3 linked regions of the Drosophila melanogaster genome follow. The protein of the gene in region 2 interacts with the protein of the main gene of each other region in a biochemical or structural test. Each region holds a gene or a part of one and is shown on either strand. Other genes may lie near its edges.

What was found.
Region 1: the proteins of dpr15 (region 2) and DIP-gamma form a complex in vitro, tested with the Drosophila melanogaster proteins (one study listed by BioGRID).
Region 3: the proteins of dpr15 (region 2) and DIP-beta form a complex in vitro, tested with the Drosophila melanogaster proteins (one study listed by BioGRID).

The regions. Positions count from the first base shown.
Region 1 is NT_033777.3:28,968,257-28,972,012, forward strand, and holds the start of DIP-gamma (Dpr-interacting protein gamma), read right to left. Parts: upstream 2,117-3,756; 5' UTR 1,075-2,116; intron 1-1,074.
Region 2 is NT_033777.3:12,156,436-12,160,191, forward strand, and holds the start of dpr15 (defective proboscis extension response 15), read right to left. Parts: upstream 2,161-3,756; 5' UTR 2,099-2,160; intron 187-2,098; 5' UTR 1-186.
Region 3 is NC_004354.4:21,455,676-21,459,431, forward strand, and holds the start of DIP-beta (Dpr-interacting protein beta), read right to left. Parts: upstream 2,064-3,756; 5' UTR 1,876-2,063; exon of another isoform or gene 1,791-1,875; intron 1-1,790.

The sequences.
Region 1 (3,756 bases), about 17 Mb from region 2:
GAGTGGGCAAGAAATCCGGAGCTGAAACAGCCGTAAAGTTGATACTAAACCAAAGAGCAGAGCTGGCAAAGCTAAAACAAATCGGAGATGCTATTGTCACGAGCTCTGGACGCGCAGGTGCCCTCATTTTAGTGATAGTGTGTAAAATAAATTATAGAAAATTATTGAAAAAATACTACTACTACAGAGTTACCAAACTAGTAAAGCAACCAACGATTTTTTCCGAAATCGGGTCAAGAATTAAAACTATTCCTTGCAATTTACATCAAATGCTAACAAGACTTTCTGGAAATGACTAGTAGTTTTATTTGGCAGTGTCATTAAACTGAGTTTTTCAGCTGTGCGAAAGTTCTTGTCTTCAGGTCTTAAAATATCGTTAAATTTTAATTTTTAAAGCAAACTTCTTTTGCCTAACTAAAATTGTTATAAGATATAGTTGGATTTAAACATTGGTGCCATTTTTATTTTGCAATTTTCAATTAATTGGTACTTAATTAGTACTCCAAGTACCTTATGAATATTACATTTTGCAATTGCTTAAAAAAATGTTAAAAGCATTTCCCGACCATTCGAAATGACATTAGGATATCATTCTAATTGCTGCCCCGGATAAACTTGATTCACTCCAACAGGTTTCAATTTGAACATCCTAGAAGCTCCTTATTGGATCATTAAATCAAGAGCGACTGAGCTGACCTAAAAAACTGAGAGGGCTTAAATGCTGCTAAGCGAACTGAGTTTGTTCCTTAATCGCCATCAGGACCAGCCAGAACCTCCCAGGACCACCCAAAAGGTAAATCCACGGCCCTGAGCTCGCGAATCCAAGCCACCTCGGGAGTGCACCACAATGGATTTGCCACAGCCCAACTCCATGGCACGAGCTGAATATTCTCCGATTTTACCCTTTCTGGGCGCTGGGCGCAAAATGTTGGTGGGGATACAGATATCGGGTATGAAAAACAGAAACAGGAAAATAGAAATGATAGCAAAGTTGCAAAGCGATGCGGTGCGGGCGGGCGGTCTGAAGGGGTTGCTGAAACGGAAATCGACTTTGGTAAGGAGTTTTTCTCGTACCTGTGAATCGGAATCTGAACGCTGGAGCTGCACCGAAGTTATGCAAATGTAAAGTTGTTCGTGCCTGCTCCTGGCTGCTGAATCCTGCCGCAGGATCTGGCACCTCCTTCTGCTCCTGCCGCTGCTCCAACTCCCGCTGTCAATCGAAGGCGATGTCGCGAGTGCTAATGACGTTTGCTTTGATTGCGCCCCGCATGCGAATCCAAATCTGAGCCACAACTCACAACTGTCATTTTCGCAAGGATACTCGCATATGTACGTATGTGCGATGAGTATGTAGAATAGGATGGGTTCTTGAGTGTCTATCTCAGCTGGTACTCGCAGCTCAGCTCAGCTCCTCACCGGAACTCTATTTATTTAATTTGCATGCAATTTTCAATTTTTATGCGGAATACTTGGCATTGACAGCAAACGATGCGCACATTTCGCATCGGCAATGCACAATAGAAATTGAATTGCAAAAATTTGTTTGCCCGTCCAGGGCAGCAGGCAAATGGATTGCGAACACAGTGGAATAGCGGATTTTGAGGGCTCTTCACGTCTTCACGCCAATGTCACAAGGAGCCGCATTCAAGGAGCCAGCGCGAGAGCTGAACGAGTCGAAGAAATCGCACAATTTGGCGGCGAAGATGTCAAGTATACGCCGCGTTGCCAGTGCCACACTGACTGCAATTACAATGGTGGCCAACAACAAAGACGGTATGCCGGTACGCCACACACACAGACACACAGAGGCATACACGGGCACATACGACACACGGAGTTGAAGCCACAAATACGTACGCTCCGCTCCGCAGGATCCGGAGGAGAAGTCTGAGGCGAAGACAGGCGACAGATCCTGGTATTGCCCCGTCGACAGTGTGCGAAATAAATGCACGCGCACACACACGTTCACGAAAAAATCCCGCGAAATTTGGCGACAAAAACCAAAACAAAACAACAACTTCGTGCGCTTGGGATCACGATGAATGTTCGATGCGAAATGCACAAATGCAGCTGCTCTCCACCACCGAACGCTCCGAAACTGAATTCGCAACTGAGCCAGCATGAAAAAGGATGCTGCCATCTGGAGCCGAAACGGCTGGACGCACGAAGGATGCCGACGAGCGGCACGATGACGCGGATGCTTCGGATGCTGGCTCGCAGAGCTTTTTTGGCGAGAGAGCGAGAGGAACTGGCATTGGCGACGTGTGACTTCGTTAAATTTCTGCGGCGACAGCACACAAAACGGATTCGGAAGCGGAAGTAGCAAGTAAGCGAGCAAGGAGCGCTCTGTGGCCATGTCTGGGTGTGTGTGTGTGTGTGTGTGTGGGTGTGCCTCTGTGTGTGTGTGTGGATGGGCGCGCTGAGTGGGTGGAGTGGCGCTGAAGTGGGCGAAGTAGCGCCAAGTGGCTGGCTAAAGTCGACTCGCGGAGCACGACCAGAATGGAAGTTTTGTGTTTGTGTTTTGCAATGCCAACTAAACACACATTCAGCTCCATACACACACACATATGTATGTCTATACATATATTATAAGTCAAACATACCTACGCCGTGGCATCAATATTCACATTCGCACTTGTGCGAGTATTTTCTGATTTGCTGCAATCGCGTTTGCCAACAACGAACTTGGCTAACAACAACAGCTGCCGGAGTCACAGTCGCAATCGTAGTGGGGTATTTTCCAGCGGATGTTTGGTAAATCTTTGGCGCCGGATACCAGCGCTGTCTTCCCCGGAGTCGCAATCCCGCCCCCTTAGATCACCACCCCTCGCGGGACACGCTTATACTCTTTTCATATCTTTCTTGCTCTTACACATGAAGGAACTTTGAAAAAACAATGTAAAAGTATACAAATTTATATGAAAACCTTTATTTAAAATTTTTTACTAAAAAAGGCATTTCATTTATTATCTCATATGCAAGGTATTTCAGTTTAAATATTACATTCATTTTATTTGAAAATATTCTTTTAATAATAGCGTTCATCATTATTCCTATAAAAAAAATTGTATTTTGTAAAAACTTGGACATTTTGCTCAGTGTACTAGCTTACACCCAGGGGTATGTATGTGTTGGTATCGATAACTAATAAAAGCATTACATTTATGTTAGAGTCAAGCGCCGTGGCCCCTTATTTTCCCCCCACTTCTGTTTCGTCCTGAGCAATAATTCAGTTTCCATTTCTCTGTTTTCTTCAGTTTCTCATTTTCATTTTGCAGCCAGTGCATGTGTGCCTCGGCACTCCTCTCACCCTCTCCGTTTTCCCAACACTTTTGCCACAGTCATGGCCAACTAATTGGAAACAGTAGCCAGCTGCGCTTTCTTGGCCCATTTTGTTGCTGCAGCGGCTTGGAGAGCTGGATCCTGGTGTCTCGTTTAGTTGCCAATTGCTTAGTTGATTTTCATTGTCTGCCCTTTGGGCCACACTCACAGGTGGCTAACAGGGCGATGGTATGGGTGGAAAATGTAGGGGTTTTTCCGCTGTATTGGCTTGTAAGTGAAACGATAAACGCTGTAGCTCGCTGTCATTAATTGGCTGCCGGTTGATGTTTATGTCGTTAGCTCTTCGTTACTGCAAAGAGGGAAAAGCGGATGGGACGTTTAATAATCTCATCGCATTCAGCTGGGTTTTCACTGATTTTCCTGATCTTCTTCAGCCGCTTTTAGCTTGATATTCAATTAACTTTTGCAGGACAA
Region 2 (3,756 bases):
TCTTGTTGGATGCTGCTGCTGTTGCTCTTGTTAATATCGCGTATACGCCTTGACACGAACTGCAGCAATATCTTCTTGTGCTTCGCGTTGCTGGCGTTTTCTCGGCGCACAAAATCGCAGGTTTAACATATTTTCAAATTGCACTTGCACGGTAAGCTTGTCGGGGAAATCTAAAATAACTAAAAGCTGAAAATGTCGTAGGGGAAGCTGAGCGAGGCAAGACAACACAACACGTGGCCAATTTTAAATATTCCCACAATGTGCCCGTCGAGCTGGGTCTCATCCTACATTTTAGGTCTTGTATTCCCATATTCTCTGGCAACTATGGCCCCACCGGCTCTTATGCTTTCCCTGATTCCTCTGGCCCGTGTCCCAGTTTATGGCCGGCATTTTGCGCCGCGTCCTGTTTTTGATATGTTTGTGTAAGTTTTCGGATGGCTTGGGTAATGTGGGTGCTCTTGGCATTAGTTGCCCTAACGAGGTGTTCCCATTTCATCCTAGCATTTGCAAATCTGACTCAAATCTGTTCGCCGTGTGGCATAAAATACATAAATAAATGATTTTTACATATAGAGAGGAAAGCTGAGAAAATTTAAATATAATCCATGAAAAATAATTTCTAAATAAAACCAAAAAGTTACTTTATAAATATGCTTGAAACCTTTGAGTGGAACTCATAAAATCTAATCTTTACAAGAGTTGACCCATCTGGGTATCATGAAAAAGTAACCATGGCAGTTTTCAGCGATATCCTGGCGAATTTGGTTTTCGGAATCCGAACACATGTTGTGTAAGCCTGAGCTGGGGCATTCCATTTGACCAAGCTCAGTTGCCGTCGTTTGCTCGGTTTCCCAGCTACTGCGGCTGCTTGTGTTACCTCATCTTTCTTTCTTTTACGCCCCAGACTATTTGGCATTAACGAAATTTATTTATGCGGGTGTTTAGTGGGGCGTAAAAGGAGTACATATGGCCATCGCGTCCGGGCGGGCGAACACGCCCACCGAGTCCACTTACGGATGCAGGACACGCGCAGGATGAATTGAAAGGATTCTCGATGGCTAGCCAAGGTGTAGGTGTAGGTAGGTCGGGCTGACTGGCTGGCTGGCTGGCTGGTTGGCTGAGTCTGGCCAAGAATAATGATTTAAATGCTGTTTTGTCTTTGCCAACAGATGGGCCTGAAGTCGGACTACGAGTGGCAGTCGGAGTTTGAGAAATGCCAGGCATACATAAGTAATGGCGGAGGAGTAGGTGGCCCAATGAAGCGTTAACTCAAATGTTAAACAAATGTAATGTTCCGGACGACTGGGCCGTATTCCCTCCATAAGGATAACGATGGGAACGAGTTGGGTTGGACCTTGAGCCAGAGCTTGGATAACACAAATAATATCAAATTGATTGCACAAACAAAACAGCAGCGGAAGTGTAAATGATTTAACACAATTCCTATTTCTATTCGCATTCCGCATCCTCGACTTTTGACTGTTGTCCGTCTCGGTCTTCGTCTTACTTTTGGCCGGAGCCATCTGCTGTTCAAACACTCAGACTTTTGGCCCATGCTCGACGGAGTGGAAAGCGGGAAATTCCCATCTCTTGTAATTTAGTTTATTTTGATTGCCGTTCAGCTTCGCAACTGGGTCATTAATTCGTTATTGTTTATGGGGTTATCTTAAAACAGTTTTTGTGGTAGGTCTTCTTCAACTGTTTTGTAACAGCAATTTAGTTCAACGGATTGTACAGATTTATTCTTTCAGTCATAGTAGATCGGAAAAACAAATGTATTTTAATTTTTCAATTTCATTGCTGATTTTATTATTTTTTAATGTTTCCTTTAATTAGAATTATAACCCTTAGTCTCGATCTCTGTGATTATATGACCAAAATATGATAATTTGGTTTATTTTTAAAAATTCTTATAATTTGTTTAGACCTTCTTTAGTTAAAGTTCACAAAACTGTTTTGATTTCCGTACTTATCGCTTGTTTTCGTTTTAATTTATCTTTAGGCTTCAATTTGATTAAAATCACTTAATGCGTATTTTGTTTACGACACAGGTTCGATCACTGTATATTTTTTGGCAAGATCCTCTTTCAATATTAACCATTTGGGGCTCTCCGTGGAGGATGTTTAATCTGCGTTCGGCGGCTGTGAAGCGAGAAGCGACCACGCTTGGCACCGGCTAAAAGTAAACTAAGCCAACTGACGACACCTTAACAGGCCAAGTCAATCGGGCCCGAAGTGAGCCGAAGAGTTTGGCTCCGTGGCGTATACGCAATATGCGCTAACAGCGGAAGAGAAATTAAGCTGATGCTGTTAGTGAGAGTTCACTTTCACAGCAGCACAAATGCCTGCCAACATGTTATGTTAACTCTTCAAAATCTGTCAACGAAACAAATGCAATTACACGGGTAAACTGCTCCATTGTTATGGCATGTTTTATGCATTGAGCAGTTAGGCAAATTACTCATTTGGATTTTATGTAAATTGTAGTCTGTGAATGCATAAACCTTGAGTGAGACCTAAATTATCCCGTAAGCCTAGTCAATTTCGTGGCAAAGGGTAAGTGGGAGGGAAAGGATGCAATCATAGCACCGTTTATGGCGGCTTAACAGTGCGATAACATAATTCCTCATTAACGTCGAACCAAAGGCGCCTGTACAATGCTAAAAATAAGTGCTGGCCAAAAAAGAGGGGCAAAAACAAAGCGGATACGAACGAAAGTGGGACAGCAGCAGCAGCCAGAGAAAACCGCATCTTGGACGGATATACCATGGCAAAGTGCAAAGCACTGGGATAACCGAGGATATTGCGGGCTGGAAGGAAAACAAAGGACCAAATTATAATGCAGACGAACAGGACATAGATGTCGCCGCGAACTGCAAAGACATTCGCGACTTTGAAGGGTGGAGTTCGGTTTCGAGAAGAGGAAAAATCGTAGAAAAAACTAAAGCTTTTGCATAAAATTCAATTTGTCGTGTGCAGCAGCCATGAATATGCTGAACTCCGGCTTTAAGCCGAACCTGATGATGGTCCCACGGCTCCCACTCCGCCCCCTGGGCGTAACATATGCGCGAAATTACTTACGTAGTGCTGGCAGTGACAGTTTTGGATCTGGAACCACCCCAGTGCCAGCCCGAAACCCAATTCCAACCTCAGCCCCAGCCCAATTTCCATCCAATACCAGCCCCCATGCCGAAAAAGCCCCACAAAAGCTTGTAAAACAATGGCTGCATATATGCAGTAGACACATTCACTTTTTAATGCGGCCCCGCCCACATACACAATTGCGAATATTTTTATTGTTTATGTAGTTAAATAATTGAACCACCCACGGCCACACACACACAATCATTGGCAAATTAAAACGATTTTTACATATATTTGCGCCTTTGTTTTGTTTTATGCAGTTGTATTTAAAGGCCCGCAGCTAATTGTTTTTCATAAAATATAACTAAAAGAATTACTTAAAAACATTTGCCCGGAACACGAACATGTCGAGAGTTCATTATAGGGCTATTATATGGGCTTAGTAGCTTAACTGAACAAATGTTTGCCCCGTCAAATTTGTATCTAGTCGGCTATTGAGTGTTGTCATATGCAGGAACCAAATTAGTTCCTATGAATAAAGCATACATGATAATAGTTGTTGAATCAGACAGATTTTGCATTTTAAACATGTTTCACGAATTACACCACTCTTTCAATGTACGATTATTCGCTCTACTCCTCTTATTAAACAATCGAGCGAATTATCCTTGC
Region 3 (3,756 bases), on a different chromosome or scaffold from region 2:
ACATTTTGCAAAAAGGGTTCCCAAATATAATGACAAAATGTTGCACATAAATTTTGATTATTCGAGACCAATAATAAAATTAATTACGTTCCCAAAGTAAAGTTTCCCAAAAAAAAACCATTAATAAAGATTTTGGAAAATTGCGTTTACAATTTTCTCTGTGCACTTTGAAGCTTGAGATTTCCTGTGCCCAAAAAGGTCCAAATTTACATTTGCCGCATAAAGCCCTTTCATTTGCCTCTTTGCTCTTTTTGTGTGCCACTGCATACATTTTACACACTTCATTATTTAATATAAAATGCATCCTCACACGCACACCTGCGCACAAGGGAAGACAATTGCTGGGCAAGGCGATGCGAATGAGTAAAAACGTTATTTAATTAATTAATTTTCATTAAAAACACGACAAAATGCGACGGCTGGTGGGTGGGGAGCGGATGGTTGCGAACAGGGTCGCAGAGGGGCGCAGAGGGGCGTGGCTGGACGGCGCAGGACATTAAAGGACGAGCAGATGCCTGCTCCTTCCTTGTCCTGTCACGCTGGCTGTCATTTACAATTTTAATCTCGCTGTGCAGCAGTTTAGCTTAAGTTCGGACGTCGGGATAATGAGCGGCCAGGTCCGCGCTTAAGGATAATGGAGCCTGCAGCTGGACAGTACTCCCTGTCCCACTCCATCTGTAATTAAAAAATCGCGCATGCAGCCAGCACTCCCTTCACCTGGTCGAATAAGGGCCAACGACCAAGTTGGCTCACAAATTTCATGGCTAATAAATCACTTTTAATATTAATAAAACATAAATCATTGCCAACTAAAAACTTGGCCTGCTAGTTGGATGCTGCAGTCTCATTTTGGCGCCTTTTGTTCGATGGCAAAAAGTTTCGGAGGAGTCTTCCAGAAAAGGTACCTCAAGAATGTGCCAAACTGGTGGCGGATGGCGAGGGATGAGCGAGAGATTGAATGGGGTTTTAAAGTTCAGGTGGGTGAAAGTTCTTGAAGGAAATCAGAAACACAAAAAGGGTTCAAAGCAATACATGGATACCGGATTTAAAATAAAATTGAATTCGGATCGTCTTACAAACCACTAAAAAAGATATTGAAAACCTTACTTAATTTTTGCAATGTGTAATGTATGCTATCATATTATATAAAATATATAATTACAAACAATTAAAAACGAAAAGAACACAAGCTGACAGTTTTATAATTATGTTAAACAATTTATCAAATCGTTAGTATGCGACAAAATGTACGATATGATTTTGACCATAAAAGGTGACTACATTTTCCCCACACGAAGGTATAAAGATAGTTGTTTTTGGGAAAAAAAACTGGCAAAAGTTAATTTGCAACTTGGCAAATCAACTGTTTTATTTACTGAAAACAAGAAACGAGAATAAAGGATTCCAACGAGTGACGAGTGACTCACATAAATGCAAACAAAGAAAGTTAATGTTAGAAAACGGAAAGGACATAGAAATTCAATGAACTGAAAAGGAATTCACTCATGAACAGTCGAGAGAATTCGCAAGAAAACAACTCGATTGGTGTAACAATTGGTTGAAAGGCTGAGAAAAGAAAGGGAATGCTAACATACCACCGATAATGCAATTGACAAATGAGTGAACAAGCGTATGTGAAATGATTTAGGCAGCGATCGACGGGCAATGGAGTAAAGGACTAAACGAGGGATTGGCTTCACCTCACTAGTGTAGTAATTTCTAAATACGCAGTCACAGCTCACATCGTATGCTTCGCGAAAAACTTTTGAATTTTTGGGTCTTAGAATTACCTTGTTCGAAAAAACAAGCAAAGCTTCGAAACTAGTCCAAAGCACTGGCCAACACTAAAAAAAAACTTGAAAATAATCAACTAACACTTGTCAAAAACTCTTCTCTCGACTTTCAGCTAGAGTAATTGTATCATTGTATCGTTGTTGTTTCGCGCCACTCGAAACCCGTTTTCGAAACTTTGGAATTTTTAGTTTGAAACTGAGTCCTTTCGTGTCTCGAATCCACTGGACTGAACTGAACCGACGCGCTAGGAAGTTGCCCGAGCACTGAACCTGTCGCACCAAGCGCGTTTCGCATTGGGCCGACCCAGCGCAATGTGCTCGTCCTTCGGCAGCACGGCCATCCCGATTTCCCAATTTCCCGACTTCCGATGTCCTGGCACTGTGGAGTCCCGTGTCCCGTGCCTGCCATCCCGAGGCCAGCCGAAATGCTTCCGAAGGACGAGCTCGTGTGGCGGACGAAGGCGTCAGTGCTTGTCCTCTGGCAACATGTTGCCAGCAACATTTAGAAGCTGGTAAATTTACTAGAGCAATTGCCTTAACTTAAAACGCAGAGATCTGCATAAGTGGTTAGTTTTGCCCAGTTGATTATTATTGGTTGAAAAACATTCTAAAAGAAAAGAAAAACGAGTTAAAGTTATACAGAAACCAATTGCTGAAATATAAAAGGCTGTATGTTTTACCAAGAGCTAGTTTTTCGGTTGTTCGCTTTCATCATTTTTCAAATGGGATATAACATTGTTAGCTGTTTTGGAATACATATAGAATTTATATCAGCCGACTTTTGACGATATTTTAAGCCTTACCTTGTGCAAAAAATTAGGAAAAGTCAAAGAAAGACGAAAGCATATTGAAAATAAATCGAACGTTAGAAAATATATCTTTATTTTGCTTGATCACTTTTTAAAACATATTAATTAAATTTCCAAAAAAAGATTTTAATGAATGCGACTATCGGATATTTATTAATCACCTAAGGACTGTGCAAGGGAGATGGAAAGGTGGAAGCAAGCAGAAGTCTCAATAGACTTAACTTTTACTTAATTTACTTTACATAGGTTGCAATAGTTCGATTAAGGCAGTTTTTGTTGTTGAAAAAATAGGAACATTTTAGCTAGACATTAACGACAACTGTAACTATAACGTTTGAAGATAACTTGTAAGACTAGTCACTAGTTTTTATACACTTCCTTCTGCTTCTGTTACATACATACTTGTCAACGACTCCAGATTGCATTGTTTCTTAGCTAGGTTAGGTAACAAAACTTGTTTTGAGCACATCATCTTATTTTATTTATTTATTTAACAAAATTAAATATAGTATACAATACTAAACCTAATTAAATTTAATGAGTACTAGCTACGGGGGCCTTCGACTCGAGACTTATGGGTTAATTGCTTTATATAATAAACTTAGCTTTTTGGACAAATTTGTAAATTTTTGAGATATTTTCACAGGATGGGATACTTAAACAATTCGAGAGACTATGTGTACCAAATAAGTGAGATCTAATTGAGTGCAATTGACTGCAGGCGTTGAGAATATGGTCAACGGTGAGCTCGTCCCCGCATAGTTGGCATGTTGGTCGCGCCGATCTCGTCAGTAAGTGTTGATGTGTGGATTGGGTGTGCCCGATGCGTAGACGGATAAAGGTCGCGCATTCCCGTTTATGTACGTTCGTTGGTGGCTTGAACATGATGCAATTCGGATTGATAGACTGGTACCTGTGCATGAAGAGTGCCCATTCGGAGAGTTTCCTTTCTTTGAGGTATAACTTGATTCGACTTTTTAGGTCCTTGGAGTTAAACGGAGTGAACAGGATTGATGGTGTAAGCCTCATCTCTTGGGCGGCTTTGTCAGCAAGTTCATTCCCATGAATACCTTGATGACTGGGAACCCAGAGTAAGGTGATTTTTTTTGGGTGAGAACTTAGAATGTGCCTAACTTCTTGTGTTGTGGGGTCAT